Macaca mulatta: one gene and its partner. The main gene of each other region encodes a partner of the protein of the gene in region 2 in a complex. Links are inferred from orthologs where the notes say so. Each region holds a gene or a part of one and is shown on either strand. Other genes may lie near its edges.

Region 1 (3,554 bases), on a different chromosome or scaffold from region 2:
TGGTCAGAGGTTTTACACAAACACCTTGAGCCAGCAGACTTCCACCTTTTGTCACTGGACTTGTGTGTGGCTTGGGGAAATGCTTTCAAAGTTCAGGGAGTTTGTCAGTCTATTTTGTGTTCACCCAGGGAAAAGTAGCATGCAAGGGCCTTCTGTGTTCTCTTCAGAGCAGATGTAGCCTTGTACGTGCATACAGCTTTCTGGATGACATGAGTGTAATCTTACTAGGGTCTACTTTACCTATCTCTTTCCCTGAATCTCCCTGATAAATTTCTGGCTGGTCTGCCATTTCGTTGCTTTCTGCAACATTAGCTTTGCCAGATTGTTTGCAAATGAGACCTCTATCATTTTAAACAATATGCCTGGGCATGGATTTTTTTTTCCCAAGCCCTACTTTTAATAAAGTCAGCTCTCTTTGGCAGGACAACAGATCTACCAGTGCTCATGGCTTACCCTGCCTGCCCAGGAAGAACTTGAGGGACCACACAGCTGGGGAATGGGAGCAGCTCCTGACTAAAATGCCACAGTCACTGATCTTACTGAGATTCAATAGCTTCCATGAGGCCTTAAATGGGTGTGGTTTGTTGTTGTTGTTTTTGAGACAGACTTTTGTTCTGTTGCCCAGCCTGGAGTGCACTGGCACCATCTTGGCTCACCGCAATCTCTGCCTCCTGGGTTCGAGCGATTCTTGTGCCTCAACCTCCCAAGCAGCTGGGATTACAGGTGTGTACCACACCTGGATAATTTTTATATTTTTAGTAGAGACGGGGTTTCACCATGTTGGCCAGGCTGGTCTTGAAATCCTGACCTCAAGTCTCAGGTGATCTGTCTGCCTTGGCCTCCCAAAGTACTGGGATTATAGGTGTGAGCCACCATGTCCAGCTCTTTTTTTTTTTTTTTTTAAACAATTTTTGTCAAGTTGTATCATTGCTTTCTGGGGAGAGGACTTGTTGAGCTCCTCACTCAAGCATTCCAAAAGCGCGGCTCCTACATTTTATTTTGAACTGCTTTTTCTTTTTTCCCTATTCATAATATTCTAGAGATCAAGAACAAATATTTTAAAGAACTACTTACTGGACTTTGGAGCCCCCCACTGAGCAGATACCAATAACCCATGAAATTTAGAACTGCTAAAGAAAAAAGTTTCCCAAAATCAGGATCAGAATTTGAGTCTCAACATTTTCAGGATTCCTCAATATTGCTTCGACATAATACTTTCTATACTTAAAGATTGGGTAAAATAGGTCCCCAGACAAAGGCAAGATTAGGGACTACAAATAAAGGGACCATGCTCAATAAAGCCTGACGTCACCCTACCTGGGCTCGCTCCTCATCAAACTCCAGACAGCCCATACCATCCAGTCTCTGGAGATCAATCCAGCCTTTCCAGATAACACAGACTCCATTCAGAATCATGGGAGCCTTCAAATACACCTAAGACACAGAAAAGGACGAAAATCATTGAAAAGCATCAGACACATGAAAATAAAAAGATTAAACTTACTTATATAAACTCTGTAGAAAAGATGAATAAAATTATGATTGATTGATTGATTGATTGACTGAGATGGAGTTTCGCTGTGCTCCCCAGGCTGGAATGCAGTGCCACGATCTCAATTCACTGCAACCTCTGCCTCCCAGGTTCAAGCAATTCTCCCGCCTCAGACTCCCCCCAAGTAGCTGGGATTACAGGCGCTCAAGCACCATGCGTGGCTAATTTTTTTTTTTTTTTTGGTATTTTTAGTAGAGATGGGGTTTCACCATGTTGCCCAGGCTGGTCTCGAACTCCTGAGCTAGGCAATCCGCCCGCCTTGGCCTCCGAAAGTGCTAGGATTACAGGCATGAGCTACCACGCCTGGCCAGACACTTTGATTTTTGAATGTTGGGTAGAAAGATGGGAAACAATTGGAAGCCACCACCCGCTGAAGAGAGCATGCACTGCTTCCCTCAACGTGGGTTCCTGGAGCCATGCAGGATCAGGCTCTTGATATTCCCTTCAGTTTTATAAGCTATCTCATAGATTCCTGATAATTAATCTTTTTTTCTTTTTATTTTTTTGTCTTGTTAGCCAGAGTTGATTTCTACTGCTTTTAACCAAAGAACTTGAACTGGTTAAATCACGTTAAGTAGTATGTGGTTATCTTTAGGTGTCCATAAATAATTCGGAACAAAACACTGCTATCCTTTATATGGGATTATGAAATTTAATTCAAGTTATTTCACAGTCTTTTATTTATTATTTTTTACTTTTCCCAATATGCAACAGTAAGCTGAATCAGTCTTTTAAATACAGTAGAAAAGTTATAAAGTCACAGGGTTTGACTACATGTAGTATGAATCATTGATCTCGAAACTGGTAAGTTAACCCAAAATCTACTTCTTTCAATTCCCTGTTGAAATTCTTAAATACTATAACAAAATCAACTAAGACAATAAGGCTAGGCACCAGTGGCTAATGCCTGTTATCCCAGTACTTTGTGAGGCCAAGGTGTGAGGATCACTTGAGGCCAGGAGTTCAAGACCTGCCTGGGCAACATAGAGAGACCTCACCTCTAAAAAGTTAAAAAATAAAAATAACAAAATGAATAAACTTAACCAAGCATCTTGAATTCTTAATGGAAATGTGTTTATTCCTTACACATAATACCTTTAGATAAGAAAATTAGCCAGACTTCCTATTGTTTCACATCCAACAAGTATATATGCTTATACATTAGAGAAATATCAAAAATGAGTATCCTAGGATATGGTAACATCTCAAGTCACTGACAAATATGTTCACTATACTTTATACACTGAGGTTTAAAAAAGTACCAACAAATTTTAAAAAGATCTTCAAAATTGCTGAAACCAAAAGTATCTCCCATCTGGTGAACCTTCAGCTTTATGATAAAACTCCTACATCCTGGCTAGGTGCAGTGGCTCACACCTGTAATCCCAATACTTCGGGAGGCCAAGGCGGGCGAATCACCTGAAGTCAGGAGTTTGAGACCAGCCTGGCCAACACGGCAAAACCCCATCTCTACTGAAAATACAAAAATTAGCCAGGCATGGTTGCAACCACAGCTATAATCCCAGCTACTCAGGAGGCTGAGGCAAGAGAACCACTTGAATTCGGGAGGCGGAGAGTGCAGTGAGCTGAGATAGTGCCACTGCACTCCAGTCTGGGTGACAGTGGAAACACAAAAAAAAAGAGAGAGGAAAAAAAAAAGAAAGAAAACTTCTGTTTCACATTTTAACTTTTCTTCTGGAAAAACAAAAAACAAACACACACAAAAAAAGTTTCTTCACCATTCTTTTTCAAGTAAATAACTCTAGATTAAAAATTGCTTTAGGTATACATCATACCCAAATTTAGATCATTTTGATCACCAAATTAATTCTCATATTGGCTCAAAATACAATTGTTCCCAAGAGTATCCACCCAGAAAGGATGGTGCTAATTCTATTATCCTGAGGTGAATATTTTATTGTGATAAACAATATAAGAGAAATTTATTACAGTTTCTACAATCTTTCCACTCCTAATACTACACCATTCTAATAGTTACTTT
Region 2 (3,554 bases):
CCCCACACTGAGCTCCTTCCTTCCACATCTCCTGCCTAGAGTTGTTCCCTGGCTGGCTGAGCTCCTGTCTATATGTGATGAAAGGGCAGAGCTTGGTGTCCCTGGCCACCCTGTCTTGCAGTTTGCTCTTCCGGTCTAAGACCCAGGTGCTTAGTTCCCGTCTCTCCCAAGGGCCTTAGATGATCTCTTTCTATGGCCTGTCTGGTCCCTGGTTGCCTTTTTCTATTGTGCTTCCTGGAAGGTTCCTGGCATCTCAAGCCTCCCGTTATCCAAGCCTACGCTTTTGTAAAATCTCACTCAACACCTGGCCAACACTGCAAAATCCCATCTCTACTAAAGATACAAATATTAGCCAGTGTGGTGACATGTGCTTGTAATCCCAGGTACTTGGGAGGTTGAGACAAGAGAATTGCTAGAACCTGGGAAGCAGAGGTTGCAGTGAGCCGAGATCGCACCACAGCACTCCAGCCTGGGCGACTGAGGGAGAGGCTGTCTCAAAAAAAAAAAAAAAAAATTTATTCACATGGGACCTTGATCACTGAGTGTTTGGCTCTTTCTGCATCTCCATCCTGTGGGGAGGATTTGAGAAGTGACGGGTGTGAGCAGGAGGCCGCGCTGCGTGCTGTTGGGTGGGGAAGCCATGGGGTGCGGCCCAGGGTGCAGCAAGGTCTGAAGGGAGGTGCTGTGAGGGTCAGGACAGGACTCCTGGGAGACAGACACACAGAACGGAGATCCCTGCACACACCACCCAAGCTTGACCCAAAGCCCCCTGGGTCGTTGTCATGGGCTAAATTGTATCTTCCCAACATTGATATGTTGAAGTCCTCATCCCACCTCCTCACAGGATAACTGTATTTGGAGACAGGTCCACTAAAGTGGTGGTTAAATTAACTCATGGTCCTTAGGGTGGGCCCTAATCCTGTCTGACTGGGGACCATAAACAAGGAGGACATTTAGAGGCAGATAGACCCTAGGGTTGCAGGTGCACAGAGGAACGGCCAGAGAGGACAGGGCCAGGAGGAGCGGCCGCAGAGGACACAGCCCCGCCCACCCCTCCACCCTGGACTTGCAGCCTCCAGATCTGTGAGAAAATAAATGCCGGCCCTGTGGGCACCCGGCCCAGGCCATCTTCTATGGCAGCCGAAGCCTGAAGCTCTGTTCCCACAGTGGCGGCTCCTTCTCAAGGGCTCAGGTCAGCCTTGAAGGATGTTGCTCAAAGCTTCTGGCTGTCGAGCTTGTGAATATTCATACCCACTTACGTCCACTGTTATGACAAATTCGGTTATGCCAGGGAGATGGAAGGAGCCAGGTTGGGGATCCCAGGCTGTGGGGAGGGCGGCCTCGGGGGTGGATGGAGGTCACTCTGGAGGCCAAAGGGGCCTCTCACTCACAGGAGGGGCCCAGGAAAGCAGGGAGGAGGCAGGGAGGTGGAGGAAACACGAGGAGTTGGGGTGAGGGGGTGTAACTATGAGGGCAGGCAGGGGGCAGAAGGGAGGGCAGGAGGGCCTGGCCAGGGGAGGCCTCAGGAGGATGAGCAGGAGGTGAGAGGAGAGAGACCATGAGGCCAGAGGGAGACCCTCACCTGAGAATCTCCTTTAGCTTGTGGTGCAGGAATGCATAATTGTCATCGAATTTGTCCCAAGGCATGAATGACTGACCTTCATTGTACACAAAGTTTTCCCAGCAGTATGCAAATTCTGAGATGAAGAGGAGGGAAGCAGTCAGGCTCTCCCCGACCCTGGTCCTGCCCTCCCAGGCCTGCTCTCCTGGCTGTCAGTTGTGGTCAGCCCTGGCCCTGCCCCTGTAGGTTGCCCTGGGACGCCCCCTGCCACGGCATTGCAGATCCATCCATCTCTCATGCTGTTCCTCCCGCTCACGCTCCCCTGACCCCTCCTCCTCTCACCTTCAGAGTCCATGATCTTCACTCGGGCCCCTGCCTGACGCAGCCTGCAGAGCGCCCTGCGATAATCTGTTTCCCAGTAGTAGTAGAGGCGGGCGGCAGAGATGGTCAGGGTGACATTAGGGTGCTCAGCTAGGAATTCGGCCACCTTCGCCACACAGTCTGGGCAGGGGGTCCAGGATACAAACCAGGTGATCTGGAAGCGCTTGTAAGCAGGCAGCTGGTTGCCACAGAACCGAGAGAGGAAGCACATTTCTGCGTGGTGCTCAGGCTTGGAATACACCTGGGAGAGGAGCAGGGGCAGGGGATGCTCTGAGAGGGGGAGCAGGAGGAGAGGGCAGGGTTGGGGCAGTGGGAGGAGGGGCCAGGACAGGAGTCCAGGGGATCTTGCCACTGAAGCTCCTTTCCTCCATCCCCCTGATTAGTTTGAGTGATTGTCTGCTCCAAAGCTCATGTTCAGTGTTAATTGCTATGGTAATGGCCTTAACCATAACCATTACCATTAACCATTAAGAGGTGGCACATACAAGCGGCTATGAGGTTGTGGGGACTCCACCTTTGTGGGTGCCACTGCTGTGGTTATTCAAGGGCGACTTTAGTCCCACTTTCTGTCTCTTGCCCACTAGCTGGAGGGGCAGTGTGTAAGATTAAACTCCTGCTTCCTCTTGTCCCCGTGGCATGGAGCAGCAGTGACCCGACATCCCAGGCCACTCTGGCTGGAGCATCCCCGACCTTCTGGCAACAACCTTCACCCCCACGTGACTGTGCAGCTCGCAGGCCCTGGAAAGTCGCTGGTGCCTTGACAGTGGATTTCCCAGCGTCCAGAACTCGAGCCAGCACATTTCTATTCATTGTCAATGTCTCCGTCTCAGTCCTGCTGTTGAAGCATCACAAGGTGCACCAAGACACGTGCTTCCCTTCGTTTGGGAGTTTTCCCAGCCCTGTTCACGGCCTCGTGCGTGAATTCTGGCATCCATTCTCCCAGGCATCCATTCACCAGGCATCCTCAGCCCCTGCTGTGGCCTGGCCCTCTGGGGTCTGCCTTGTTCCCTCCCTGCCATCTGCTGGAGAAGCCACTGGACTTGTGCTCTCCCATGTGGTGGGGGGCACTGGGCAAGGGGGTTACTGAGCACTTGAAATGGGGCTCTGATGAGAGACCTGGGCACCTGAAAAATACATTATACACCGCTCATTTCTCTTTTTGTTGTTGTTGTTGAGACATGGTTTCACTCTTGTTGCCCAGGCTGGAGTGCAATGATGCAATCTCAACTCACCATAACCTCTGCCTCATGGGTTCAAGCGATTCTCCTGCCTCAGCCTCCCAAGTAGCTGGGATTACAGATGACTGCCACCACGCTTGGCTAATTTTTTTGTATTTTTAGTAGAGACGGGATTTCACCATGTTGGCCATGCTGGTTTTCGAACATCTGACCTCAGGTGATCCACTGGCCTCAGCCTCCGAAAGTGCTGGGATACAGGCGCCAGCCACCCCACTAGCATGGCTTACACGGCTCATTTCAAAGACTCAGCATGACAAGAAAAAGAAACTTCACTATCTTGTCAAGAATTTTATGTTAAATAATCTTGAAGTAATGTTAGCGACATTGGATTGAATAAAATATTAAAAATAGGCCGGCACTGTGGCTCACACTTA

Evidence for each region.
Region 1: the proteins of APOBEC3F (region 2) and CBFB are in contact, whole or in part, in a cryo-EM structure (PDB 6NIL), measured with the Homo sapiens proteins. The link is inferred for Macaca mulatta from reciprocal best matches to the Homo sapiens genes APOBEC3F and CBFB. Residues at the interface, in NP_660341.2 of Homo sapiens: Glu289, Leu291, Ala292, Arg293, His294, Ser295, Asn296, Glu324; in NP_001746.1 of Homo sapiens: Phe32, Asp34, Arg35, Arg43, Glu54.

The regions. Positions count from the first base shown.
Region 1 is NC_133425.1:62,604,055-62,607,608, reverse strand, and holds part of CBFB (core-binding factor subunit beta), read right to left. Parts: intron 1,435-3,554; coding exon 1,318-1,434; exon of another isoform or gene 884-1,317; intron 701-883; exon of another isoform or gene 1-700. UniProt on the Homo sapiens protein: Forms the heterodimeric complex core-binding factor (CBF) with RUNX family proteins (RUNX1, RUNX2, and RUNX3).
Region 2 is NC_133415.1:12,514,880-12,518,433, forward strand, and holds part of APOBEC3F (DNA dC->dU-editing enzyme APOBEC-3F), read right to left. Parts: intron 3,067-3,554; coding exon of another isoform or gene 2,755-3,066; exon of another isoform or gene 2,607-2,754; intron 2,184-2,606; coding exon 1,904-2,183; intron 1,698-1,903; coding exon 1,583-1,697; intron 1-1,582.